7 linked regions of the Macaca fascicularis genome follow. The main gene of each other region encodes a partner of the protein of the gene in region 4 in a complex. Links are inferred from orthologs where the notes say so. Each region holds a gene or a part of one and is shown on either strand. Other genes may lie near its edges. The genes, in order: CWC22, CWC15, SNRPD1, RBMX2, SCNM1, PLRG1 and RNF113A.

Region 1 (4,295 bases), on a different chromosome or scaffold from region 4:
AAATGTGTCACCGTGCTGTCTTCTGGGTGGTCTCAGGTACAAGCCACTGTAGGTCATTCAACAATGTTCAATCATGGGGAAGGAGAGTTAACTTCTTTTCTTTTTCTTCTTCTTTTTCTTGAGACAGAGGCTCACTTTATCACCCAAGCTGGAGTGCAGTGGAGTGATCTCGGCTCACCGCAACCTCCGCCTCCAGGTTCAAGTGATTCTCCTGCCTCAGCCACCCGAGTAGCTGGGGCTACAAATGCACAGCACCACACCCTGCTACATATTTTTGTATTTTTAGTAGAGACAGGGTTTCACCATGTTGGCCAGGCTGGTCTCGAACTGCTGATCTCAAGTGATCCGCCTGCCGTGGCCTCCCAAAGTGCTGGGAATGCAGGCATGAGCCATCGCGCCCCAACAGAAGAATTAACTTCTAAAAATTCAACAGCTGGGAAAGCTAATAGAGCTAAGAAAGCTCGCTTAGAAAAACCAGGTAGTCTAGGAAGTGTCAGAACTCCAAAAAGTGATTGGAGGTAATCTATCCAAAGCAGGGAAGGATGTGGTGGCATAATAATAAATACTGGCTGGCCATGGATCAAGTACTTTGGAGCAAGGAGGGAAACAAACCTGATTCTGAGGACAGGGGGAGGATGAACCATAGCATGCCCCTAAAAGATGGGCTAGAGCAGAAGTTTTCAAACTAACTGGCATGAGAATCACTCGAACGCTTTGGCGCAAAAAAACCCAAAAAAAAAAACAAAACTGTTGGGCCTGCATTTCTACGTTTCTGATTCAACAGAACTGGGTGAAGCCCAGTAATTTACATTGCTAATAAGCTTCAAAGAGATGTTGCTGATTCAGGAGACCACATTTTTGGAACCACTAGACCAGGGTATTAGATCAAAGTTCTTGGCCTTTAACTTATAACCAAGACGGTCTCAGAGCCCCAGTCAATTGAGTTGGGTAAGACTCCATAAAAGTGGCATGGACACTTAAAACTAGAAGGGCACTGGCCGAGCGCAGCGGCTCACCCTGTAATCCCAGCACTTTGGGAGGCTGAGGTGGGTGGATCACGAGGTCAGGAGATAGACACCATCCTGGCTAACATGGTGAAACCCCGTCTCTACTAAAAATAAAAAAAATTAGCAGGGCGTAGTGGCTGGCGCCTGTAGTCCCAGCTACTCGGGAGGCTGAGGCAGGAGAATGGCGTGAACTCGAAAGGCGGAGCTTGCAGCGAGCCAAGATCCGCCACTGCACTCCAGCCTGGGCGACAGAGTGAGACTCCGTCTCAAAAAAAAAAAAAACCTGGAAGGACACTTAAAGGTGGAAAGGCAACACTCAGACCCAGAGGGCAAGAACTGAGGCACAGACAGAACTCATCAACTGTATCATAGTAGCAATTTACAATAATACAAAGCTAACACTGTATATCAGGCACTGTGCTCAGTGCCTCATCTGCATTATTTTCTTTATACTCAAAAAAAGACAACACAGTGAGGCAGGTATTGTATTATTACCTACATGTTTTCAGATGATGAAGCTGACTATATATAATAGAGACTTTAACTTGCTCCAAGTGACAGACCTAATAATAGCTAAATAAAACTGAAATCTTTGGTCTACTAGTCCATCACCCAGGACCAACAAAAGTAGCTTTCCTCAACCTACTGATAAGGCCTGTAACAAGGCTTCTCCTCTCCTGGTCAAAACCACACTTTTAATGTCAATTTTAAATCTGCCCTTGCATAGTAGGATAATCTGTGTTAACTCCTGAATTCACAAGCAATCCTACAACAAGATAAGTCTAAATACGGATAAGAGGTAGGTTAACTGATCTGCTGAGGACCCAATTTGTTTGTTTATCTGCTATTTCGAGTCTCTGCACATCCAAAAATGCAAAGGAAACTCTTACCTAATTCTTGCATCTAGAATAGCCTTTCTCCAAATCCTGCCTTCTCCAATTACCTCAAAAGAATTGTTAGGATTAAGTGGAAATAGGTATGGTAGTTTTTGCAGTTAAACTCAGTGAAATTAACGATTATATTTCCGTTCTATAATGCTGTGTTACAGGACCCAAAGCTCCTTAGAGAGGTGGAGTCTGGACACCCAAGTTTAGCAGTTATTACCTCATTGGAGATAGTTCAAGTTATGTAAGGATCAAGAATGACAGGTGAAGAGGACACAAGAGAAGCGAAGCGTCTTCAAAACTAAACTCTAGAAACTATCAGTATTTACAGGGCAAATAAATGAAAAAGAAACCGCTAATGAAACGTAAAACAAATAGCCAAAGGGATATAACGCCGGAAAGAGGCATAAGAGTGCAAGTACTTCAACTAACTTTTAATCAACTAGAGCTCATTAATCCCACTCCCCAGGCACTGGGAAAGGGGCTTTGGCAAGCCCAATGGACTCCAGAGGCTCTAAGTATAAAACACACCGCACACGAAACAACAGAGCACCAGCGTTGGTGCAGGACTTCAGACAGCTGCAGGAACCTCACAAGGAAGGTCAGCCGGTCCGCTCAGGCAGTCAGTCAGTTCACCGCAGCCCATTCGCTCCCCACCCGCTTGGACTCCTCGGACCCAGCCACTCTCACACCCCTCTCGCGGGCCCGAGCGTGGCGGGAAGACCCACGCACACTCCAATGCCGCTCACAGCCGTATCAGTGAGCCCGCACCCACTCCTCAGGGTCTTTCACTTCCCACCCGACCCGACAACCCGCCACCCCCGCTCCGCTTCGGTGCCTACGGGGACTCCGCGGAGTTCGATAATTACCTAAAGCTGCACCGCGCCGCCATTACACCGGATGTACGTCACTTCCTCTTCCCGAGCACCGACAGTAGGAACAAGGCAGATACTGAAATACATAAAAACTTGACGCTCAATTGGCTTGACGCGTTATCCTTTTAATTTATTTCAGATACCATATCATAATGCCAGAGTCAAAGCAGTCGATCCAGGCACACTGTATTCTTATCAAAATGGCGACTAAAAAGAAGTTGGCATGAACTACAAAGTCCGAAATCCAGCACCTGTGCTGACGGAAATGACGAAAGCATAATTGTAGTTTAGCGGTGAAATGGCGCGGTGTACGATGGGAATTGTAGTTCATACAGATGCGCGCCAGCGAGTTAACATCCACGCTGCTGACTGGCAGCCTAGCAGTGTTTAGGGTCTAGGCAAATTTACTTTAATCTAAAAGTATTTCACTGCATTTTGGGAATTTTTTTTTTTTTTTAGTAGTCAGTTGTCACTTTCCTTGAAAATCTTAAGTGAGAGATTTTCTTGAGACTTTTTTTTATAAGAGTTTGACCAAGAGTCAAGTGCCTAATAAATTCCAAGACATCCAAGCCAAGAGAATGGGAGAATATTAGATCATAAATAGAGTGAAATAATGAGGAAAAAATAATTCTGTAGAGACTATGTTGCCTGTCTTTTAAGGTAAGGTACCAACTGGTATGACCTGAGAATAAGGAGATTGCCTGGCTGAGTAGGAAGTAGCAGTTTGTACAGCATGCAGAACTAGGGCATCAAACAAATTGTTTCTTTAAACTTCACTTTTCACTAGTAACAAAACGTAAAAGTTCAACTACTTACTATTTTGGAAACTCTCTTTCTAAAACAAGAATATCTTTATGTTATCAAATCTTTCATAAACCAGGCCTGATTTCTCCACACACTTCTCTATTACAGTTTTAGGGTGCTGTGCTTCCACTCCTTTCTGGAGGCAAAGTGTGAGAATTAAGAATAAAAACACTGCAGTTGGACTACTTACGTTTGAATCTTGAGTCCTTTGATTATTTATGGATGATTGGGGCAAGTAACTTCACATTCTGTGGCCGTTTCCTGATCTGTTAAATGGAAATACTAGTAGTACCCATTCATGCAGTAGTTGTAAGAATTGAATTAGTTGATTCACAAGATACGTTTAAGATAATTGCTAGTATACAATAGTGTTATCTATTTTATTTCATATTTAAGATATTTGGCCATTGTTGATGGTGCACTTTGGTGTACCAATACAGGGCACAGGAGATGGATCTGGAGATGAACATTTGTATTTATATATTTAAAAACCCACAATACTATCTGTGATGGTTAATTCTGAATATCAACTTGATTGGATTGAAGGATGCAAAGTATTGATCCTGGGTGTGTCTGTGAGGGTGTTGCCAAACTGTTGACAACTGTTTGTTGTCAAACAGTTGAGTCAGTGGACTGGGGAAGACAGACCCACCCTCAATCTGGTGGGAACAATCTAATCAGGTACCAGCGAAAATAAAGCGGGCAGAAAAACGTGAAAAGGCGAA
Region 2 (3,500 bases), on a different chromosome or scaffold from region 4:
GGATGATTTGACTTTGAAGAAGTTGATGCTAAAATAAAAGTGAAGAAAGACAGTGTTGTAACTGATAAAGGATGGGAGGTATAAAAATAGAAACTGAGGCCGGGCGCGGTGGCTCACGCCTGTAATCTCAGCACTTTGGGAGGCTGAGGTGAATGGATCATGAGGTCAGGAGTTCGAGACCAGCCTGGTCAACATGGTGAAATGACATCTCTACTAAAAATACAAAAATTAGCTGGGCATGGTGGCGCATGCTAGAGGCTGAGGCGGGAGAATCAATTGAACCTGGGAGGTGTAGGTTGCAGTAAGCCGAGATCATGCCACTGCACTCCAGCCTAGGCAACAGAGCGAGACTCCGTCTGAAAAAAAAAAGAAAAAGAAAAGAAACTCAATAATAAGTCAATAAAAACAAAATAGATCAGCCTCAGGTAAATTAGTAGAAATTCATGTTAACTGGATATAATTTTGTACATGGTAGTTTGTCCTATTTTAGGAGTTTTCTTCATTAATAACTTCTCACCAAACCTAGAGACGCAAGTTTACATTATTAGTAATTCAAAATAAGATTAAATTAAATCACAGTTATGTATGACCCTTTAAAATTGAGATAATAGTTTTGCTAAATGTGTCTTTTTGATATTTAATATGTTCTTAAATTATTAGAATATGCTTATTGATATACGCTTAAAATTTAAAGCTATTAATTTTACATGTACTTCAAGAAAGAAAATAGATTTAAATATGAATCTCTAACATTTCACAGTTGGAAGAGACTGATATCAACCATGAAATATTTATAATAAAAATGCCAACTTATTTTATTTTGATGAGGGAGACTTTTCTAGTATGCCTCAAAAACCAAAAAAAAAAAAAAAAAAAAAAAGCCTGCCTTGATGCTTTTCTTGCCGTAAAATCCCAATGATCTGTTTTTTTTTTTTTCAGTGAGCTAATATAAAAAAAATTGAACCCAGAGTTAAAATAAGTAAATACTAATCTTCCTTTATCATTGACAGGAACAAGAACAAAAAGCTGAAGAAGAGAGGATTCGTATGGAAAACATTCTGAGCGGAAACCCTCTCCTTAATCTCACTGGCCCATCGCAGCCTCAGGCCAACTTCAAAGTTAAAAGAAGGTACTATACAGTAACGGAGTAATGAAGTGTGTGTGTGTGTGTGTGTGTCTATATGCACAGGCATGCAGATTATAAGTTGGATAGCAAGGTGCATTATATGAAGCTTCTAAAAGTCCACCGTTCGTTCACGGATACTCTTCTCTGTTCAATTAGGAATAATGGAAGAAGCTAAATGAAAGAAAATTAACTTATTTTCAGTAGATAGTTGCAATAACCAGCTGTGTACCAGATAATGATGTAAGCACTAGGGACAGAGTAATAAACTGAGGCCCTTACATTTTAGGTATGCGTATCAAGGGTCCCCAAGATGGCCTCTCACATTCAGACACTCACTGGAAGAACTCAGGGGACTTGGCATATAGTTACATGCTTGGCTAAGGTAATAAAGACACACAGCTAGATTATAAAGGGAAAAGACACACACGGAGAATGGATGAATCCATGCGCAGGTTTCACTATGCTCTATCCCTTCCATGAGTGGTCACACAGCACATTGTTTCCCCCAGTGCAGCAACGTGTGCAGTGCTGCTGCCCAGGGAAGCCCATTAAAGATCCCATGCCCAGGGTTTTTACTGGGCGTGGCTAGTCATGTACGCAGCTTTTGCTTAGCACATAGCAAAATCCAGACTCTTAAAAGGACAGTAGGTGTTCAGCATAAACCACATTATTTGTAAATTGTAGGCACAGTGACAGTGAGAAGATTTCTTAAATCCAAATTTTCAAATGCCAGCCAGGGGCCAACCTTGGAAGCAGGCATTTCTAAGGATTGTGGTCCCAGGCCTGCTTTTTAAATTCTTTCTGTACAGTGTGTGTGTTTGGAGGGGTAAAAAGGAGGGCTGAAAAGGGAGGAAGTATAAATTGTAAATACTGTAAATCCTTCAGATGGTGATATGTAAAATAAAACAGAAAAGCTTACAGGAAATGTTGAGGAAGGAAGAATGGTTGTTATTTTATATGCATTCATCAAGGAAACACAGTGCTTAACTTTTAAACCATATTCGTTATTTTTCACCACCTCTACTGCTATTATTTGCCATCTAGAGTGATGCAGTACTGCTACCCGCCCTCCCCTCTGGAGTGATGCAGTACTACTGACCGCTTTCCCCTCTGGAGTAATGCAGTACCGCTGATACAGTTCTGGAATTAGTCCAAGCTGGAGATAGTAGATTTGGAAGTTATCAGCTCAGATAAACTTTCTAAAGCCATAACACAGGATGAAATCACCTAGGGAAGGGTATAGCTAGAGAGGAGAAGTCAGAACTGAGCTTAGTATAATGTTTAGAGGTTAGGGAGATGATTAGTTACCAATACCTGTTCTAATCATCTACCCAACCTCTAAACATTATACAGGTGCCTGATAAATATTGATTGAATGAATTTTGAATGAAAAAGTCTAGGCTGACAAGCAGCAGCCAGTTGGGAAGAGAGGAGAACTGAAAGAAGTGAAACCAAGTGTTTCAGGAGGAGAGGAGTGATCATTTAGGACAAATACTAATGTCAGGAAAGAGCATTTTGGTGTTGGGAAGGAGGGACAAAAAGCCTGTTTGGAGTTGAGGAAAGACTGGATACAGAAAAAACTACTGATTATATATAAAAATAAAGCTATATAGTTTGTTTTTTTGCTTTTTTTGAATGCAAATGGAATTGGAGACAGAAACATGTCTTATATCCCAGTCATATTGATCTGCTCAGCTTCTTATGCTTCTCTGTATACTGCATCAGTGATGACTTTACTGCACTATTTTCCAAAGGTGCCCACGTTTGTTGCTCGTTGTGCAGTTTCCCACATTTGTTCCCATGTGCAGTTTCTCCTGGCATGTAAGCGCATACACACATACACACACTCATGATATGGGTTTGTGTTTTATGTATATTTGTGAGGGTATCTATATTATGTATATGGGCAGCTGTTTTATATGCTAGATGATATTCTGAAATCATGCTCTTTATTTTCTATAACACATGTATTTTATAACTTACTTATGGATTTTTTTTTCACACTTATACCTTATGGAATCCAACCAGAGTTCTGCCCTGAGTTCTTCGGCTGGTACTTCTCCGTGGTTAACGTACATGTGCGCCATATCTGAGCCTTAATTATTACACCCCAATGATTGCTTCTCCTTTTGTTGGCCTGTAATGCAAATATTACAGTAGATGATTACTAAACATTAACTGATAAAAGAGGAATATCTACAATCCTCAAAACCACATAATCTAAACTACATTAAATTGATTGGCTACTATCATCTACAAATGCCTATACTAATATTAGGGTAGTCCTAGGTGCAGCCTCTTTGTATTAGACCTAAAAACATTAAATATTTATGCAATTAAAATCTATGTATTTCTATTTTTTAACTCAAAAGTT
Region 3 (4,007 bases), on a different chromosome or scaffold from region 4:
AGGCAAAATTCATGTATGGTGGAAGAAATTGGTTGCATCTAGGGGTATGGAGTCAGAGGTTGCCTGGGAAAGGCTTGAGGAAACTGAGGTTTTGGTAATGTTACTTCTCTTGATAGGGGTTTAGGTTACAAAAGTGCTTATGTTTTTCAATAGCAGGAAATATACGCTGCATTTCATTGTATTAAGATATTCACCTCAAAGAAGGAAAACAAAAATCCATGAGTGGGATAAAAAGGGCCTGAACCTCAATGGTGGTGACCGGAACGAAAGGAGGCTACTATGGGCAGGACAAATACACAATTATCCCTCCCTAACTGAACCCAGGAACCAAATGGATTCAACTTATTTTCAGACGAATCTTTCAGTATCTGAATTCTTTCTACTTAGTGAAACTTAGATATCAAATAGTCAGATAACACGGTGTCCCTCAGTATCAAAACACACTATCTGAACCCAAAAAACAAACAGGAAAATGTGGGACACTTTTATGCAGTAGGTAAAACTGGCAGTGTATCAAATGTCAAGGACATCAGGAGAGAAAAAGTCAAGCTCACCTCCCAGGTTTTTGGTTAGGGTGACAGTGAGAATAAGGATGACAACTACCAACTGATATACAGAAATTAGTCTACTGAAAACGCAAACCAGTTAGTCAAACAATCATTTTCTGGAGGAAAAATACATTCTCTGGTAAGAAAAAAATTTTCTTTCTATATTTGACCTAAGACACAAAACAGGATTCAGTCCAGCTATTAAAAATTACTGGAAAATTGCCATAACATGCAATATCTTTAAAGGGAACAAATGAAATCCAAGGTGTATTACATAAAATTGAACTATGAGTAGATTAAGATTCAGATTAGCAGGTATGGAGAAATTTCAAAAAATGTTGTAATTTTCTTTTTTGAGACAGAGTCTCGCTTTGTTGCCCAGGCTGGAGCACAGTGGTGTGACGTCGGCTCACTACAACCTCCCGGGATCAAGCGCCTCTCTTACCTCAGCCTCCTGAGTAGCTGGGATTACAGGCGCCCGGCTAATTTTTGTATTTTTCGAAAGACGGGGTTTCACCACGTTGGCCAGGCAGGTCCTGAACTCCTGACTTCAGGCGATCCGCCTGCCTCAGCTTCCCAAAGTGCTGGGATTACAGGCGTGAGCCACCGCGTCCAGCCTAAAAAATGCACTTTAAATTCTATGACTTCCTATCCAAAATTATAGTTCAAATAAAAATACAACAAAAATTAATCTTAATTGTCTTTTGTACCAACTCCTCCCTGAATTTTTTATTTTTTTATTTTTGCAACGGAGTCTCGCTCTGTTGCCCAGGCTGGAGCGTAGTGGCCAATCTCAGCTCACTGCAACCTCTGCCTCCTGGGTTCAAGCGATTCTCCTGCCTCAGCCTCCTCAGTAGCTGGGATTACAAGCGCGCGCCACCACGCCCGGGCAATTTTTGTAATTTTAGTAGAGACGGGGTTTCACCATGTTGGTCAGGCTGGTCTCGAACTCCTGACCTAGTGATCTGCCCGCCTTGACATCCCAAAGTGCTGGGATTATAGGCGTGAGCCACTGCGCCTGGCCTCCTCCCTGAATATTGAAGGCTTTTATGTGTTATTTAAAACGTTTCAAACAAACGTTATCTACTTGTCTGTCATCCCCCTAACTAGAAAGCTCCAACAAGGATCTGCCTTTTAAAAAATACTATTACCAGCGCCCAGTAGGTAACAGGTGCCCAATAACTATTTAGCGGATAATGACAATCCTTGACTCAACAGGAAAGAAACAAGCTAAATATTTATAATCGATGGCTTAGTTATTAGAAACGTCTGCCTCTGTTCCAGGCTCAGTCTCAAGGAAAAAGACCAAAACCAAATCTACTCGCAGGTAGTTTGGAATTAGTCTCCAGAAGACTCACCTAAGTGACAGGGTCTATTTCTCGCGAAAGAAATAAAACAGAATAACTATATATCATCTGGGTAATCAGCCACAATTACGTTGTGATAATTTCTGCCCTATATTGGGAGATTTTCCTAAATAAAAAGCTTACCTTAACAGGAAAGAGGTAGAATAATCAATCATAAGTCTAAGGAGAATCAAAAGATAAACTTAAAAATCGGCCGGGCGCAGTGGCTCACACCGGTAATCTCAGCCCTTTGGGAGGGCGAGGCAGGCAGAACGCTTTAGCCCAGGAGTTCGAGACCAGCCTGGTCAACAAAGTGAGACACCGTCTTATTTAAAAAAAAACAAAAACAAAAACTTGTGAAGCCAGAAGTCCTTCTCTGATTTAAAACAGTTTGCAAACAGGTTTGTTTCCAGATAAGCTCATACAGCTTTCTAAGTACTCTTAAGTAGGGCTGGAGCTCCACTCAAAAAGAAAATCAGTAACTGTAAGGGCGAGATGTCTCCCAGGCGGCGCTGCACCTTGAAAGTCTCTAAGTCACTAGGCGGGAAGAAAAGGCTCGGCCTTTATACCAGTATCTTGGAAGACACGCGGGATCCGCGAGCGACCCAGGCAGAAGCCCAGGCCCGAGCACGAGCTGCGGGCGCAGTAAGGCCGGCCGTTAGCAGGCCGCGCACACGCGGCTTTCCCGCCTCCTGCAAATGGGAGAGCCCAGCCTTCCGGACTCCGGGCCAAGCCCTCCCTCCACAGCCCCCAGAGCTGCTTGGTCACTCCCTCACCTCACGAGCTTCATCCTAGCGGCGCCGTCACCCTTCGGGTCCGAGAGCGCACAGAATCCAACAACCGAATACTGACCAACTGCAGTATGAATGGCCGGAAGCGCCTACTCCAGGGACTCCGGTCGTAAAGGGCGCGCGGAGCACAGCAGACGCACGGCGGAAACGCCGAGGCTGCGCTGGGCCGCACTCTCTTCCGGTCGCGAGGAGCGCGACTGCGGCCCCTGGCGGCTGGAGGTTGCCTTGCCACGACTGAGGGTGTTGAGGGCTGGTCTAAGAGGAAAAGTGTCCCACAAGAGAAGGAGATTCGAAGAGGTTAAATCCAATTAATAGGACTGTCGCACTTTGGGAGGCCGAAGCGGGGGTATCACCTGAGGTCAGGAGTTCAAGACCAGCCTGGCCAATAGGGTGAAACCCGCGTCTGTACTAAAAATACAAAAAATTAGCCGGATGTGGTGGCGGGCGCCTGTTATCCCAGCTACTCGGGAGGCTGAGGCAGGAGAATCGCTTGAACCCGGGAGGCGGAGGTTGCAGTAAGCCGAGATCGCACCACTACACTCCTGCCTGGGCAACAAGAGCGAAACTCCGTCGCGCGCGCGCGCGCGCGCGCGCACACACACACACACACACACACACACACACTAGTACTGTCACCATCACGTTTCTGAATAGCAGGGCACCGTGAGTGCAGCACCTAATATAAATTCCTCACTGAACGAAAATAAGTTCTTAGAGAAGCCCAAAGGATTATGCTAATTCTGTTCCAACGCCAGGAACCTTAGCATTACTTAATGTACCTGAAGCAATTCACACAATGAGCCGGGCGCTGTGGCTCACGCCTGTAATTCCAGCACTTTGGGAGTCCGAGGCGGGCAGATAGCGAGGTCGAGAAATCAAGACCGTGCTGGCCAACATGGTGAAACCCTGTCTCTACTAAAAATACAAAAATTAGCTGGGCGTGGTGGCACACGCCTGTAGTCCCAGTTACTCGGGAGGCTGAGGCAGGAGAATCGCTTGAACCCAGGAGGCGGAGGTTGCGGTGAGCCGAGATCGCGCCACTGCACTCCAGCCTGGCAACAGAGCGAGACTCCGTCTCAAAAAATAATAAAAATAAAAAAATAAAATCACACAATGTAGCGGATTATTTTCACTTTAAGTTCCGATCTATAAGACAAACTTTTCAATCTTCATCTTTCACAACATCTCCTCAAAATTTATTTTTATTGTTTTTCTGAGACAGAGTCTCCTTCTGTCGCCCAGGCTGGAGTGCAGTAGCACCATCTTGGCTCACTGCAACCCTTGCCTCCCCGGTTCAAGCGATTCTCGTGCCTCAGCCTCTC
Region 4 (4,299 bases):
GGTCCAAGAGCAGGTACTGATGTGGACATGTGCAAAATGGATTCAAACTGTCAATATGGGTTAAATCACATATTATATGTTAATCATCTCTTCCACTGGTTTCTAGATATTTCTGGTTGAAATCTATCAGGCAAATATATCTTGTCCCCTTAATTATAATATTAGCTCCTTGAGGGCAGAGGACCCAACCTGATACTCCTGTCTACAGACCTTAGCTGCACAGGACAAATCTAGATGTTCAGTAAGGACTGATTGAATCAACCTGACCTACTGGGTGCAGGTGCTCTAGTACCTTTCTAGTTAATTTATTCATTTGAGCCTCATTTCTTCCTCTACAAAACGAGGGTGGAAATTTCTTTTACTTTCTCTTTCTTTTTTTTTTTAAAAACAAGGAGTCTCGCTCTGCTGCCCAGGCTGGAGTGCAGTGGTGCGATCTCAGCTCACTGCAACCTTTGCCTCCCAGGTTCAAGTGATTCTCCTGCCTCAGCCTCCCGAGTAGCTGGGATTACAGGCGTGTGCCACCATGCCTAGCTAATTTTTGTATTTTTAGAGGAGACAGAGTTTCACCATGTTGGCTGGGTAGGTCTTGAACTCCTGACCTCAGGTGATCCACCTGCCTTAGCCTCCCAAAGTGTTGGGATGACAGGTGTGAGCCACCACACCTGGCCCCCCCTTTTTTCCTTTATTTTAGAGACAGGTTCTGCTATGTTGCCCAGGCTGGTCTCAAACTCCTGAGTTCAAGCAATCCTCCTCCCTCAGCTTCCCAAAGTGCTGGGATTACAGGCATGAGCTGCTGCGCCCGGCCAGGAATTGTAATTTTATCTGCTTCATTGGGTTGTTGTGAGGGTGGAGAGACAATACATGTAAATTGCTTAGCACATACTCTAGTATCATACAGTACATCATCTGCTCACTTGCTAGCTATTAATTTAACAATATTAATTTCTGTCTCCTGCTCAACTAGGAGAGAGCCTATGGAAAAGAGTAAGTGCAGCGGCTCTCATGCAAATCTGTAGGTATTCAATTCAGCCTATAGAGGCACACTGGTCTGTTGCCTATGTATTGGGATAAGAACAACAGAAGATTTACCTTTTCACCTATCTTCTTCACTTTTCTGCCATGACAGGGATGCTTTGATGGGTCTGTGCGTGAGCAACTGACTAAGAGCGAAGGTCCAAGTGGGACTCTGGACTGGGAGCGAGGGCTGAGACTAAAGTCGCCACATCAGGCTGCTTATTCCGTTCATTCAGCAAATATTTATAGCTAATCTAACCAGTTTCCGATATCGTTCAAGAGCTGGGGGTCCTGCAACAGCCCAGGCTCGTGCCTTTACCCCATTTCACAGAGGAGAAAAAGCGAAAAATTAGAGAAAAACCGTTTCTACAAGAGGTAACCGCAAAGAACGCGGAAGGCTTCTAGTGCGCAGGCGCCACGCCCCGGTACGCCCCAGCTCTTCCGGCGCGAGGTCACCGACTCGACGAGCCACCGGCGCCGGGGCCGCGCATGCGCGGCGCTGCCTTTCCCGGGCGCTGATTCCTGAATGCTGAGCGCGAGCCCGCGGAGATGAAGTAAGGCGTCAGCTTCCTTTTGAGGAACGAGCAGCGGGCCGCTGAGGGTGGTCTACTGGGGCTGGGGTGGTAGAGCGTCTGCGGGGTCGAGGGGCGGGAGAGGCGCGGGGACTAGAACACCTCGTCCCCTTGTTTTGCTCTTCTTCAGCTTCGGCCGGTTAGCATTTACTTGTCTGCTTTTCTGCCTCCCCTCACCCCCGCCACCGTGAAGTCCTTTAACTAAGGTGAAGCTGATCAACGAGCTGAATGAACGAGAGGTCCAGCTTGGGGTGGCCGATAAAGTGTCCTGGCACTCCGAGTACAAGGACAGCGCCTGGATCTTCCTGGGTGAGGTGCACATCTTTCTTCCGCAGTGCTCCCAAGATTCTCCTGCTCGGTGTCCGACTATTTCAGCATTTTCACCCTTCACTCCTGCTTACATTCATTGCCCTCCTTTATATCCATCTGCTGTCTGCCCGGGAATCCGTGTTCCATCTTTTTTTTTTTTTTTTTTTTCTGCCCCATTTTTAGTTTTCCTTCCCAGCCAAATCAGTGCTCATGAGAGTTACTGTTTGCCATTTGCTGTGCTAAGGTTCAGGGACTGTTGTTATTTCTCTCTCACCCCCTGACCCGTTATTACAGCTGAGGAAATTGGGGTGCAGAGAAGTTAAGGGACTTCCTTAAGGTCACATAGCTAATAACCGCAACAGGCAGAACTATAGCTTTCTAGAACTCATGGTCTTAGCCACAGCCCCATATTGCTACCACCGCCCTCCCCCATTCCCCTTCCCTTGCAGAATTCACTTTGCTCCTCTAGCTCCTGCTTTCTGACCATGGCCACACTACCATTACTGTATTCACTTTATATCACAACCAGTAATTGTACAAGTTTGATGCTTCAAAGAGGTTATTGTAAAAACGTTGTGCTAAGCACTTTATATGCATCGTTTTATTTAACTCTTATAACAGTCTTGCGAGTTACCTGCTAATATCCCCATCTTACAGATGAGGAAAGAAACATTTGGAAGGGAAATTATTCCCTAGGAAATGCTTAACAGTGTCTTTATAACCTTTGTCTATGTGTAGGTGGGGTTAATCATGACATATGTAGACTAATTTTGTATCATAGCTGTAAATTTGTGGGTAATGAGCAGATGAATTCAACATGTTTGTGGAAGCAGAGGTTTGTGATGGAAACTATCTGCTTTGCCCATAGGATTTTGGGTGCCAGGAGGACTGAGTGATCAGTTTACTTTTGTTAGTGGTGACACTGACTTCCACTCAAAATTAGTCACTCCTTTTCCTGTTCTACTGGCACCTTACATGTACTTCTGTCATTGCATCAGACTTGATTTCTTTCTTTCTTTTTTTTTTTTTTTTTTTTGAGTTGGAGTTTCACTCTTGTTGTCCAGGCTGGAGTGCAGTGACGTGATCTCGGCTCACTACAACCTCTGCCTCCTGGGTTCAAGCGAGTCTCCTGCTTAAGCCTCCTGAGTAGCTGGGATTACAGGTGCCCGCCACCTCGCCCGGCTAATTTTTTTTGTAGTTTTAGTAGAGACGGGGTTTCGCCATGTTGACCAGGCTGGTCTCGAACTCCTGACCTCAGGTGATCCACCCGCCTTGGCCTCCCAAAGTGCTGGGATTACAGGCGTGAGCCATGGTGCCCAGCCCAGACTTGATTTCTTTAAGGGCAGGGCCTGTTGCTTACTGTTTGCACCCCTAGTGCCTGGCCTAGTGCATGGTACGTAGTAAACACTTGGTAAATGTTGGTGGAACTGAAATGTGGTTTTCTTTTCTAGGAGGGCTTCCTTATGAACTGACTGAAGGGGACATCATCTGTGTGTTCTCACAGTAAGTCCCCTTTCATTTCCTGCCTCCTGAGTCGACAGAGTACTTTTTTCTGTAATGCATTTTGTGGCATCACAAAAACCACTTATTTTCACTCTAGGCTGAATGGTGTCCCTGCATGGGGAGGGCTGGAGCTTCTGCTCTAGTCTAGATCAGTCCCAGGACATGGTTCTAGAATGTTCTCCTGTGGGAGATCCAAGAGGTTTGTTAATTTGGGAGGCCATCTTGGGGATTCTAGTCTATTTCTGTTGTTTTTCACTGAGGTTTGTTCAGCCTGGGCCTAGACTGGAACAGACTGGAACCCTCAGGAAGGTTCCATATTGGTACGCCTCCTTGGGCTCTTGCAAACTAGGGGTAACCCATGGTCACAGGGCCCTTCTGGTCCTTGCCTGTGTGGCATCATACGACTGGGGCAAACCACAGAGGAATTGGGATGAAAAACAGAAAGAAGGTTGTAGTTTGCTTTCTTTGATTCTCAATGAATGTAAGGTTAGTGAGCAAAGCCAATCTCTACCTGGAGGCTGAGAATCACAGCCTGACGAGGAACAAGAATGAATAGGAGATCTGTATATTCTTCATTCTGCTGAGGTGTTGGCAGCAGCATTTGGTGGGAGAGGGTGTTGGTGGCTCATACTGGTAGTAGCAGCTAGTAGGAGAGGGGCTGGGCAGCTGGCCTGCAACCCCAGAGGTAAACAGCACAGTTAGTCCACAGGGCCAGAGGATCTTGGCACAGGTGCAAAGGACCACTACATTTGGGTTTTGTAGGCCTTCAGAGCATAGTACTGTTTCAGAGAAGTTGGACAGCATGTACAGGTAGCAGACCATGGCAAAAGGGGCTGGCCAAGCAAACACAGGTAGCATACACTGGCAGAGGGATTGCTATGGCAGGATGGTAGGGCCATCC
Region 5 (4,298 bases), on a different chromosome or scaffold from region 4:
GGGAGGCCGAGGTGGGTGGATCACAAGGTCAGGAGATTGAGACCATCCTCACCAACGTAGTGAAACCCCGCCTCTACTAAAATACAAAAAATAAGCCAGGCATGGTGGCACATGCTTGTAATCCCAGCTACTCGAGAGGTTGAGGCAGGGGAATCGCTTGAACCTGGGAGGCGGAGGTTGCAGTGAGCTGAGATGAGATCACACCACTGCACTCCAGCCTGGTGACAGAGCGAGACTCCGTCTCAAAAAAAAAAAAAAAAAAAAAAAGCTTTGAAACAAGAAGGGTCAGAGAGAAAAGAAAATCTGAGGAAACTGATTAGGCACACTCACCTTCGAAGGGTGAGATAATGGTCCAGGGCTCGTCTTCTTGTGGGGCTCATGGGTGCAGGGGCTGAGACAGTTGCTGACTCCTCAGCCTGTGGGCCAGCCCCAGGTTCAGGTTCCCTACTGATCTTCCCGCTTTGGAGTTCGACCTCTGAGGGTGGCACAGGAGAAAGGGAGACAGAGGGACCAGGGGCTTCTGGTCTAGGTAGAGAAGAATAGTCTGTAAAAGCAGTAAGGGAAAGGGCCAACTCTCCTATGACTCCCAACCTCTTAAAACAGTGTTTCTTAAACTATATTTTTCAAGATATTAGTAAGTTCTGCATACAAAGGATTTTAGAATCATGAATTTGGGAAAGGCTAGCTTTAAATTTTACAAGTTTTTTTTTTAATTCTTAAGACTTTGTATAGCTTTTAAAACTGTTACTCTTTTTTTTTTTTTTTTTTTTTCTGAGATGGAGTCTTGCTCTGTCACCCAGGCTGGGGTGCAGTGGCCAGATCTCAGCTCACTGCAAGCTCCGCCTCCCGGGTTTACGCCATTCTCCTGCCTCAGCCTCCCGAGTAGCTGGGATACAGGCGCCCGCCACCTCACCCGGCTAGTTTTTTGTATTTTTTAGTAGAGACGGGGTTTCACCGTGTTAGCCAGGATGGTCTCGATCTTCTGACCTCGCGATCCACCCGTCTCGGCCTCCCAAAGTGCTGGGATTACAGGCTTGAGCCACTGCGCCCGGCCTAAAACTGTTACTCTTCAAGTAGAATTACAAAGTGCCATTTCCCAAACTTTATTTAAAAATCACAAAATTCTCCTTTTCTTTTTCTTTTGAGATGGAGTCTCACTCTGTCACCTAGGCTGGAGTGAAGTGGTATGATCCTGGCTCACAGCAACCTCTGCCTCCCGGATTCAAGCAATTCTTCCACCTCAGCCTCTTGAGTGGCTGGGATTACAGGCACACACCACACACCCAGCTAATTTTTTATATTTTTGGTAGAGACGGGGTTTCACCATGTTGGCCAGGCTGGTCTTGAACTCCTGATCTCAAGTGATCCACCGCCTAAGCCTCCAAAAGTGCTGGGATTACCGGTGTGAGCCACCGTGCCCGGCCAAAATTCTCCTTTTCTTGAAACACTAAGTAACATCTCCAGAACGCTAGTATTCCTCAGAATACAGACTGGAAAACACTTTCAGAGCCCTCTATCTCCTTCCGAGCCTTCCTACCTCTGGCTTTCCCCTCCCATACCTGTACTTCCGGCGGCAGCAACTGTTATAGTGGGGAGCTCTGTGCAGAGCACTCTGGGTGATAAGTCGTGTCTGGGTTAGCAGAGGAGCCTGGTAAGAAGATGGGAGACAGAGTCAGAGCCTTCAGCCCTCTGCCCTTCCAGCCTGGTGTGTGCAGCAGGGTCTTGCCTAGAACACACTCTCCACTCTCTGATTACCTCAGCTTTGGTTTCTTCCCTCCTCAATTCATTCTGATGTCTTGGATTCTGCTTCCTTTCCTTTCCCGGCTGCTTCTTGCCATAGAAAAGCTGCAAGCCTGAAGAGAAAGGGAAACAGAATTAAAAGCATAGCACCAAGGCTGGTGTGCAGAGATTTCGATTTATTCCCCATCCCCTGTCTTCCCCCGAACTTACTGGACAGATGTTTCTTGCCTGCACGGTGGGCAGTCAGCATGGCCAGGGTGTCCAGTACCGGTCGATGGGGGCAGATGGCACAAGCAAAGCTGAGCAGGGGTAGAGAAGAGGATAACTGGTCCAGGGGAAGAGGGTTGGGCCTGTCCCTGCCGTAAGTCCCACCCTGTCCTAGCAGTCTTTGCAAAACCCAACTCCCTGGTGACCCAATCTCCACTTCTTCCAGTCCTCACTAGCCGCCAAAGAATCCTAGATACTTCTGCTGTCCTAATTAATAACAAAAGTTTGTTGAAGCCGGGCGTGGTGGCGTGCGCCTGTAATCCCAGCTAATCGCGACGCTGAGGAGGCAGGATCACTTGAGCCCTAGAGTTCAAGGACAGCCTGGGCAACACAGCTATTGAGCCTCTAACCGCAAAACCCTCAGGCTTGAGCCACTCCTCGCTCTTACCGTCCATCCCGAAGCATCAGCGCCTCATCCTCTGGGATGTAACTGGCGAGGAGGTCCCCGACTCTTCTTTTCTGCAGGGAGTAGGGGAAGAAATCCGGACGGATCAGCAGGATAGGAGAGAGGGATGGAAGTTAAATGACAGAAATGAGGAGTCAAACGGAATAAGGACATAAGGACCCTGGGGAGAACAGCGATCATAGACCGAAAAAGGAGTCACTACACAGCTCTAAGTCGCCTGGTTCTCTCCTGCACCCCCGAGTTGTTGCCAGAGCAATGAAACAACGCTCCTTCCCAACCTTCAGAGAGCGACTGAAGAGGCTGCAGATCCTCTCCGCTCACGCTTACTTTGAGCACATTGAGTTGACTCCAATCGTCTCCTTCCCTCTTGAAAGACATCACGACTGTGAGTCCCAGAGTGATAAATTTTCTTGTTCCGGTTTCGCCACTCCTCTAGGCCACCGTAGCAAGAGCGGGACAGCGCCTTCTCTTTTCTCTTTGTCTTCCTGTCGGCCCCCGTACTTCCGGGAATGCACTTCCACGCATGCATTGCGCCATCCGGATATCCACTCTCTGGCGCGTGGAGGGAACTGCATTTCCTATGGTGCCGTGCGACTCTGCAGACGCGACGCCTTTTGGGAAATGAAGTCTTTTCCTCAAAGACCTTGCCGCTCAGCTGGATCCAGGCCCTTGCATCTTGGTGGATCTGAGGCGTTTAGAGGGACAAGAACCTAGATGTGGAGCCGAAATTTGAGGGTGTGACCTATCTGATGCGGAGCGGACCTGTGAGGATCTCTGAGTGGAAGGTGTACTACAAATTCTCGCAATCCTCACGCTCTTCGTCTGCGGCGACAGTTCACCTGGGGTGGGCCTGATTTGTTCCTGGCTCTAGCAAACAAACCCCGGGACCGGGCAGAGCTGGGATGTGGGAGCGCCCTGAGGCCAGGCTACTTGGGGGCAAACTGAGGAAAGAGTGTTGAGGATTATTTCTAGAGTTCAAAGGTCAGAGGTCAATGTAGCGAGGAGTTGTGGGGGAGTTCAAAGTCGGAGGGGTGCTTAGGGGCGAATCAGGGAGGGACTGAATACTCAAGGGACAGATTTGTGGATAAGGAGTTGGAGGGAGGAGAAACCGGGAGGGGGCAGGTGGCGTAGTGCTGGGGAGGCGGGGACACAGGGGAAGAGAGAAGGGGAAAGGAATCCCCTGAATATCTATTCCCAGACTTCAGGCCTGTCACTCGCAGTCTCGGTCGGGCCTCCCCTAGTTGCAACCTAGCTGTCGGCAGGGTGAAGAGATGGCTTCCCCGTCTAGACAGCCCCCGCCAGGGGGGTCAGGACTGCTTCACGGGAGCCGGGCTCGTTCATATGGAAGCCTGGTGCAATCGGCCTGCTCCCCAGTGAGGGAAAGACGCCTGGAGCATCAGTTGGAGCCCGGAGACACCCTGGCTGGACTAGCACTCAAATATGGGGTGACGGTGAGTTTTCCAGGATTGGGGTGCAGACAAGAGTCAGGAGGGATTTAGTCCTGAGAAGAATGTAGTGGACCTTCTAGGTAACCTCCCCTGAAATGTTCCTAATGTGTTGAACTCTGTTCTGCCTTTATCTTTGTTTTCCCATCACAGTGTTGCACTGCGTGGTTGGGACAAGTTCTGCTCTACTATTCCAATGGAGAGGAACAGCTCCTATTTTATCATGCCAGACACTGTGCTAGGGGCTTCACATACGTTAGCTCATTTCACCCTCACGTCCATATCAAGTATACATTTATTGTTCCCTTTTGGCAGATGAAGAAACTGAGACTTGGATTGGTTAACCATTTTGACTAAGGTCAAATAATGATTGTCAGATATGGGATTCAAACAGGTCTGTCTGACTCTGTAAACCACACAGAAAATTTTACATTGAGAGT
Region 6 (4,076 bases), on a different chromosome or scaffold from region 4:
CCACACCTAAGTCCTGCCAGCAGGGGCAAAAATAACACATTTTATTTTTCTATTTTTAAAATTCACACATACGTCTGACATTTCTGATAATACCATACTCACCTTGATTGGCAGGGTACTGTTTATGAACATATGAATCCGTTGCATTCTGAGGACCCTTCTCTTTAAGATTTTCTTTCAAAGTAGGCATATGCAACACAGGACCATACTCATTACGAAGCTTGATTGCCATCTTCCGTTTGTGACTATTTAGAAATTATAAACATAAGAACGTATCCATAAATACTTTAAAACAAACACTTAGACAGCTTAAGTTTGCCCAATCATGTAGGAAAAGTTTCTAGTAAGATTTTAAGTAGTATTTAAAAGAATCAAAAATTTCCAAGTGCATTTCCCCACCATATCTGTTCTTTTGCTCACATTCCACCACACAGCATTCATTAAACCTAAGTAATATTTTAGTTTGTTACCTAATAGAAAATATTTTATGATAAATTATCAAGGGTCTGCTTGAAAGATATATAGAAACTAACATACCCTTTAAGAAACCTCAAAGTCAATACGCTTTCCTTCAAAATATAAATATAGTAAAAACTCTACAGCAACCTTTACTAGATGTATCCAAACAGGTTAGTTAGAACTAAGAAAAGTACTTAATTGGTTCAATATTTTAAAAAGAAATGCACTTATATTACTTTTAAAAATAGTCTACTTTACAAATTAAATATAAATGCTTGTTTGAGGAGTTAAGTCGATTTTAAAAGGGTAAAGGACAAAGAAGGAACACTGCACATAATGCAATCCCAGACTGGAGCTGGATATGTAGAACCAAAAATATGCCACCACTCAAAAATCTTCATCATACTAACGAGAAAAGATGGGAGTAGAGGTACTGGCCAGGTACAATTTCAGCTCAGCAAGGCTCTGAGAGCAGCGGGAAGCTGAAAGCACATACAAAGTGATTGATTATAAAATAAAATACCTAAAAGGGACTCTCTTAATTACTGGGTATTTGTAAAATGCAATTAATTAATGGAACTTTTACTGTAAAAGGCCAAAAAAAAAAAAAGTTAAATCAGCTTAAATTATGCCAAAACACCACTCATTATTGAATTAGCCCATGAGTATTGCCAGTTTATCTTTAAAGGTCTCCCTCTTCCTGCTCTCTTCCCCCAGTATTAGAATGTTAAATATTTCAGCAATTGAAAAAAAAACTATACCAACCTCTCTTCATCTAAAGGCACAGGTTTTCCATTATCAGCTACAAACATGTCATGGGTCCTCTTCAATGACCTGAACACAAGTGTGTGTACAGAATGTTTCTGTACCTCCTTAAAAAAAAAAAAAAAAAAAAAAGTAATTACACACCTATCTACAAATTACACAAATCATAACCTAACGTCAGATTGATTATACACTTCACATGTTTAAATATGTAAAAAGCTTTATACCACTCACCATAGCTACTTGTTGCGAGCTACAGGAGTCAAGTTCAGAGAAGAGGAGGAAGCTCCTCTTTGGCTAGAACCTCAGGTATAGCAACTGAGTGATGCCATAGTTTAGTCATTTACTCAATAAATATTTACTGAGCTCCTACTGTGTGTCTGGCAGGTATCGTGCTAGAATCTCACAATAGAATGATAAAAGGTAGTCATGGTCCCTGTGCTCAAGAGGAAACAGACAAATAAAAAGTAAAATAATTCCACATTTTGATAAGTGCTATGAGGGCAACAAGCAAGGCACTGGGTCGGGAAACGAAGGACTAAGTATAATTGTGAAAGACTTCACTAAAGTGATATTTAAGCAGAAAGGGAGTTAGCCTTGCACAAAACAGAGATAAAAACGAACCAGGCTGATGGAAATGTCATGTAAAAAAATGTTCAGTTAACTGAAATAATACAAGAAGGGCGGCACAGCTGTATATGGTGGATGAGATGGTGCTTTGTGGTTGCAAGGGTAGACAAGGTCCAGATTAGGTAAGGTATTTTAGACTATTACAACAGCCTATGTTTTCTTCTAGCAACACAGTCAGTAAAGGGTTTTAAACAAGAAAGGTATGAACAACTTACATTTTAAACAGAACAACTTATGGAACAAAATGGAAGCAAGGAAATCAACGGGGGGCTAATGCACCAGGCCCGGTGAAAGATGATGTTGGTCTCAATTAAGGTGGACTGCAGTGGATACGGAGAAAAGTGAATGGAATCAATAAACATGTGGGGTAACATGGACAAGACCAGCTAACAGAATGGCTGGCTGTTCATGCCAGGGAAAGATGTAAAGAATGGCAAGTTTTTCTGGGAGTAGAGTTGAAATAAGAGACGACTTGAACGCAAGATAGAGAAGACCGCCAATCTTTTCGGGCACAGAATCACTGACACTGCCCCGAGGGCGGCGAGTACCAGTGGTCGAACACCAACAGAGGCCCCGCCTCCAAGGACAGTTTCCAGCTCCCAAGAGTCAAACGAGGACTGGACGAATTATCTCAGGCTTAGCGCCCGGACTGAACCTCCGACTCGGGTTCTCATCCGGCTTCTACCCCTTCCCCGAAAACCCGATGAAGAGACCACCCGGCCTTGGCCAAACAGCTTCCCTCGTAGCCTCTTTTCTCTCCGGACTCCAAGCACTCTCAATCCCCCAAGCCCACTGCCAAAGAAAAACAGTCCAGAGACAAACGACTCTTGAGAGTCCCAGTGTCACTTTACCTCGACCATGATGCTACCGCGTATCCCACCTCCGGCAGAGAAGAAACCCTAATCACTAACGCAGTACCCGCCGCCACAACTGTGCTGCACCTTCCGGAATTGGGAGGCCAGGCGGCGGATGTGATGCAAGCTCTGCGCACGCGCGCTAGTCTCCCCCGGCCCTCTGGGATCAAGAGGCGGGTCTCCCTCCTCAGGACCGCCCCTAGGGCGGAGGCTCGAGGCTGTAGAGGGGAGACACCTGGAAGCGCCTGACTGGAGGATTTCACTCGCTCCTCTGAAGAAGTCTTCGAATTATGTTTTCTGCCTTACCTTCAGCCTTCAATGTCTTGGCTGGGGCCCTGGTTGTTCATGCTGTATTCCCCGGAGTTTAATGCTTTTTATTCAGAGAGCCTAAGCTCTCTGGAGAGCAAACTCCCGTGGGCTCTATCTAAGGCGCTTCCGCTGCCTTGATCTCTTTGGAGGTCGCCTGCTTGCTTTCTGTCTCCTGGTTCCAATCCTGGCGAGAAGCACTTGGACACTTGTAGGCTTAACACCTGAAAACAATTTCGCTTAAACAGTTCAGTAAACACTTGCTGAGTGAATGTTGAGGAATGGCTGTTTTAATTTGGAAAATTTTGACATGTAGATATAAGAAAAACCCATATTCATTTTCTGCTAATAGATTTTTTTTTTTTTAACTTCTCAACGCTACATAGCTCTTGGACATTTCCTAGTTGTCTGCTGATTATTGTGGCTTCAACAATGCCAGGGTACAGCTTTTCAAAGCTGGTAGAAGAAAGACACAATTGGAGACTTTAGCCATTTTTATTTATACATATCCTTGTGCCAAGTATTGGTATTTTTGCTTCCTACCCTGGTAAAATCTCCGGTTTTGATCAACCCTACCTAATTATTTTTCTATGTAAAAAGAAAAATGGATGGACTTGGGCATTTGCAAACTTAAATAGACAAAACATTTTACTGGCCCTGTTTCAGTTTCACTGATCTGTCCTGACAGCGTACTGCATACACTTTGAGAGGGGGAAACAATCTAGCAAAAGAATAGCAGTGTAAATCAACGTCACTTGGAAATTCATTAAAAACATTAAGGTCATGGTTTTTTGTTTGTTTGAGAGGGAGTTTTGTTCTTGTCGCCCAGGCTGGAGGGCCATGGCGCAATCTTGGCTCACTGCAACCTCCTCCTCCTGGGTTCAAGCGAGTCTCCTGCCTCAGCCTCCGGAGTAGCTGGGATTACAGGCGCCCGCCACCACGCCCGGCTAATTTTTGTATTTTTAGTAGAGACGGGGTTTCACCATGTTGGCCAGGCTGGTCTTAAACTCCTGACCTCAGGTGATCTGCCCCTCTCGGCCTCCCAAAGTGCAGGAATTACAG
Region 7 (3,163 bases), about 10 Mb from region 4:
GAGCTGAGATCGCGCCATTGCACTCCAGCCTGGACAACAGAGCGAGACTCCGTCTCATAAATAAATAAATAAATAAATAACCCAGACAGCAAGGAACATTTCCCATATGTGAAGCCTGTGGTACTAGCTACCAATTCCCCAAACGCAACCCCTCTCCCCAACACCTTGGCTCCGGTATATTTTGTAGTACAGGCTCCCAAGAGAAAGAATGCATGAAAGTACTTTGTAAACTATTAAGTGATACAGAAATGTGATATGATAAACAGGCTCAGAGTTCTTACTTTCGTCATAGCTTTGGCTACTTCAAGCAAATTATAGCTCTTTTCTCAAACTACTCCCACCCCTATAATTGATGCCAAAGTGTTCTGAAAAGAAACACAGGCAAAATGGTTATCCTAGGGCTAAAAATCCTGATTATACCTACCTTGAGGTTTTTAATCCAGGACCCTACTTCACCACCCGCCTTCTCTGTCACTGTCTCTACAAAGGAAGGACACGAATTAAGACTTCCAAAAGAACAAAATATTTATTATTTAAATTTAAGAATTATCAGACAGCTAAGTAACGGGAATTGGATCCTCATCGGGGTCTTCTGGCAAGTCGGAAGCACCACCACCCTCTCCTGTAGCTCGATGCTTCTCTAGTTTAGCAATCAATTCTTTCGCTGGATTGAAGACGCCATTGGTCTGCTGGTCACAGACATAACAGCGCGGGGTGGTGCGGAAATGCTGCAGTGCACAGCTCTCGCAGAAATAATGCCTGCACTTGGTGACAACTGGGTTTTGGAAGCTCTGGCGACAGATGAAACACTTGAATGGTATTTCCTCATCATCGCTTCCCACTTCATAGTTTTCATCCTCATAGACACCATAGCGACCCTCATCAAGCTCACGTTCGATCTGCCACCCATGCTTGTAATCTGAACGGTCATGGAGGAATTTGCAGCTGTCTCCGAAGCCGCAGAAGCCAGTCTCTTTGTAGTCCTTACAGATGTCGGGCTGGTAATCCCAGCGCACGGTGGCACGTAGATGCTCGGGCGCTCGGATGGGGCCCTTCCTCACCATCCCGGAAGAGGCATTGCCCATAGACGTATCCTTGGGCTTCATGTATTTCTGATAATTGTTGATTCCCCGATAGATCTTGTCATCCTCCTTGCCCCTCAGCTCCTCCTGGATCTTCTGGCTGCGCTCAAAGATGGCTTGTGCATCGCGCTCTTTCTCTGTGTCCAGCTCATAGACAGCTGTCGCCCCCATATCCTCTGGTCCCACGGGTTTCGCCGAGCGGGTGGATTTATAAACCACGCCGAGACTCTCGGGCTCATTTTCCTCCTCCTCCTCGCTGCTCAAGTCGCCGTAAGCTGCCTTCTGTTTACCACTGTCACGAGTCTTCTGTATCATTGGATTGTGAGTCGCCCGCTTCTTTTCCGGTCGAACCACAGTGCAGCCTTCGTCGCTACTGCTGCCGCTGTCTCCGGGCTCTGGGTCGCAGGCCGGGCGCTTTCTGCGTCCAGCAGCCCCTTTCCGCCCAGGCTTTTTGAAAAGGAAGGTGCACACCTGATCCGCCGTCTTCCCTGGAGAAAACTGCTCTGCCATTTTAGAGTCCCGAGCTCCGAAACGGCCGTCGCTGCCTGGGTTGCACTTGGCCTCTGCGCGTTACTCCACGTCGCGCGCTCCGCCGGGAGTCGAAGCAAAAGACACTGACGGAAGAGAACTGCGAGAGCGCGAGCGCCAGCCTCTCTTGAGCCCTGGCAGATCCCGTCGCTTCCTCCGGAGCCGTACGTGGCACCGCCCCGCTCGCGGGCGGCCGCGGGGCTTACTGGGAAGGGAGCCGAAGCCCGGTCACCTTTCAAGGACCCAGAAGTAGGGTTTTGGCCTAGATAACGGGGCAGAGATGTGGTTCGAGATTCTCCCCGGACTCGCCGCCATGGGCGTGTGCTTGCTTATTCCAGGACTGGCTACTGCGTACATCCAGAGGTTCACTAACGGGGGCAAGGTAAGGCGGCTTCCTGGGCCCGGGGGCTGACTCCACTGGCTGATTTCTGAAAAGGATGGTGGGCAGAGAGGCCGTCAGCCTGCGGACCCTCTCTCCGAGGCCGGCCCTCTACTTTCTTCCGGTTGCCTAGAAGCCGAGGCTTGCGAAACGAAGCGCGGTAGAAACCACATCCTGCTCTGGTGAAAAACAGCGTTTCTGGGTGTATCAAAGTGGGCCTTAGGGCAGAGTAGCGACGCGGGGGCCGGAAAGGTAGATTAGAAGAGGTGGCTCAAGCCTGAGAATCCCTCACTGCAACCTCCGCCTTCCGGGTTCAAGAGATTCTCCTGGCTGAGCGCGGTGGCTCACGCCTGTAATCCCAGCACTTTGGGAGACCGAGGCGGGCGGATCACCTGAGGTCGGGAGTTCGATACCAGCCTGACCAACATGGGGAAACCCCATCTCTACTAAAAATACAAAATTAGTGGGGCGTGGTGGCGCATGCCTGTAATCCCAGCTACTCGGGAGGCTGAGGCAGGAGAATCGCTTGAACCCAGGAGGCGGAGGTTGCAGTGAGCCGAGATCGCGACACTGCACTCCAGCCTGGGCAACAAGGGCGAAACTCCGTCTCAAAAAAAAAAAAAAAAATTTTTCCTGCCTCACCCTCCTGAGTAGCCGGGACCACGCCCGGCTATTTATTTATTTATTTTGGTAGAGACGGGGGTTTCATCATGTTGGCGAGGCTGGTCTCGAACTTCTGACCTCAGGTGATCCACCCGCCTTGACCTCCCAAAGTGCTGGGATTACAGGCGTGAGCCGCCGCTCCCGGCCACCCTTGACTTTTTTATTCCCCACTTTCTCTTGCAAGCGTTTAGGAATTTACTGCAAGGTCTTGTGTTTTACATCAGGATTCATTTTCCCCTCTTAGCCCTTCACATCATCTCTAGAGTACAGAGTATAAATTTACTTACTTTTTGAATTTGTGATTGTCCACGTGTGATCTACAGCTGTTGTTTCTTAGTGTCCCAAAAGGCAACAACTAGATATTTCTTTTTTTTTTCTTTTTTTTAAAAAGGAAAAAAAATTCATGTTGGTTAAAATAGTGTAAGAAGTCACGGTCACCAACTTAATCCTAAAGTGTAGTGGTCTGATTTTATTTAGGAGATTCTGTTCTTGTACTACTAATTTGCATTTT

What was found.
Region 1: RBMX2 (region 4) and CWC22 share a complex: the UniProt entries of both Homo sapiens proteins name them as parts of the minor spliceosome. The link is inferred for Macaca fascicularis from reciprocal best matches to the Homo sapiens genes RBMX2 and CWC22.
Region 2: RBMX2 (region 4) and CWC15 share a complex: the UniProt entries of both Homo sapiens proteins name them as parts of the minor spliceosome. The link is inferred for Macaca fascicularis from reciprocal best matches to the Homo sapiens genes RBMX2 and CWC15.
Region 3: RBMX2 (region 4) and SNRPD1 share a complex: the UniProt entries of both Homo sapiens proteins name them as parts of the minor spliceosome. The link is inferred for Macaca fascicularis from reciprocal best matches to the Homo sapiens genes RBMX2 and SNRPD1.
Region 5: RBMX2 (region 4) and SCNM1 share a complex: the UniProt entries of both Homo sapiens proteins name them as parts of the minor spliceosome. The link is inferred for Macaca fascicularis from reciprocal best matches to the Homo sapiens genes RBMX2 and SCNM1.
Region 6: RBMX2 (region 4) and PLRG1 share a complex: the UniProt entries of both Homo sapiens proteins name them as parts of the minor spliceosome. The link is inferred for Macaca fascicularis from reciprocal best matches to the Homo sapiens genes RBMX2 and PLRG1.
Region 7: RBMX2 (region 4) and RNF113A share a complex: the UniProt entries of both Homo sapiens proteins name them as parts of the minor spliceosome. The link is inferred for Macaca fascicularis from reciprocal best matches to the Homo sapiens genes RBMX2 and RNF113A.

What each region holds. Positions count from the first base shown.
Region 1 is NC_088386.1:75,564,267-75,568,561, forward strand, and holds the start of CWC22 (pre-mRNA-splicing factor CWC22 homolog), read right to left. Parts: upstream 2,801-4,295; 5' UTR 2,761-2,800; intron 1-2,760. UniProt on the Homo sapiens protein: Required for pre-mRNA splicing as component of the spliceosome. As a component of the minor spliceosome, involved in the splicing of U12-type introns in pre-mRNAs. Promotes exon-junction complex (EJC) assembly.
Region 2 is NC_088388.1:93,949,601-93,953,100, reverse strand, and holds part of CWC15 (spliceosome-associated protein CWC15 homolog), read left to right. Parts: intron 1-1,010; coding exon 1,011-1,129; intron 1,130-3,500. UniProt on the Homo sapiens protein: Involved in pre-mRNA splicing as component of the spliceosome. Component of the PRP19-CDC5L complex that forms an integral part of the spliceosome and is required for activating pre-mRNA splicing.
Region 3 is NC_088392.1:68,147,116-68,151,122, forward strand, and holds the start of SNRPD1 (small nuclear ribonucleoprotein Sm D1), read right to left. Parts: upstream 2,801-4,007; 5' UTR 2,685-2,800; coding exon 2,671-2,684; intron 1-2,670. UniProt on the Homo sapiens protein: Plays a role in pre-mRNA splicing as a core component of the spliceosomal U1, U2, U4 and U5 small nuclear ribonucleoproteins (snRNPs), the building blocks of the spliceosome.
Region 4 is NC_088395.1:136,676,463-136,680,761, forward strand, and holds the start of RBMX2 (RNA-binding motif protein, X-linked 2), read left to right. Parts: upstream 1-1,499; 5' UTR 1,500-1,563; coding exon 1,564-1,568; intron 1,569-1,779; coding exon 1,780-1,895; intron 1,896-3,346; coding exon 3,347-3,398; intron 3,399-4,299. UniProt on the Homo sapiens protein: Involved in pre-mRNA splicing as component of the activated spliceosome. As a component of the minor spliceosome, involved in the splicing of U12-type introns in pre-mRNAs.
Region 5 is NC_088375.1:110,052,990-110,057,287, forward strand, and holds the start of SCNM1 (sodium channel modifier 1), read right to left. Parts: upstream 2,801-4,298; 5' UTR 2,792-2,800; coding exon 2,741-2,791; exon of another isoform or gene 2,692-2,740; intron 2,467-2,691; coding exon 2,396-2,466; intron 2,040-2,395; coding exon 1,951-2,039; intron 1,854-1,950; coding exon 1,756-1,853; intron 1,649-1,755; coding exon 1,560-1,648; intron 545-1,559; exon of another isoform or gene 526-544; coding exon 331-525; intron 1-330. Other genes in the region: LYSMD1 (lysM and putative peptidoglycan-binding domain-containing protein 1), read left to right, coding at 3,685-3,864. UniProt on the Homo sapiens protein: As a component of the minor spliceosome, involved in the splicing of U12-type introns in pre-mRNAs. Plays a role in the regulation of primary cilia length and Hedgehog signaling.
Region 6 is NC_088379.1:159,465,751-159,469,826, forward strand, and holds the start of PLRG1 (pleiotropic regulator 1), read right to left. Parts: upstream 2,801-4,076; 5' UTR 2,715-2,800; coding exon 2,706-2,714; intron 1,332-2,705; coding exon 1,225-1,331; intron 942-1,224; exon of another isoform or gene 870-941; intron 246-869; coding exon 103-245; intron 1-102. UniProt on the Homo sapiens protein: Involved in pre-mRNA splicing as component of the spliceosome. Component of the PRP19-CDC5L complex that forms an integral part of the spliceosome and is required for activating pre-mRNA splicing.
Region 7 is NC_088395.1:126,232,984-126,236,146, forward strand, and holds RNF113A (E3 ubiquitin-protein ligase RNF113A), read right to left. Parts: upstream 1,699-3,163; 5' UTR 1,593-1,698; coding exon 558-1,592; 3' UTR 501-557; downstream 1-500. Other genes in the region: NDUFA1 (NADH dehydrogenase [ubiquinone] 1 alpha subcomplex subunit 1), read left to right, coding at 1,891-1,992. UniProt on the Homo sapiens protein: Required for pre-mRNA splicing as component of the spliceosome. As a component of the minor spliceosome, involved in the splicing of U12-type introns in pre-mRNAs. E3 ubiquitin-protein ligase that catalyzes the transfer of ubiquitin onto target proteins.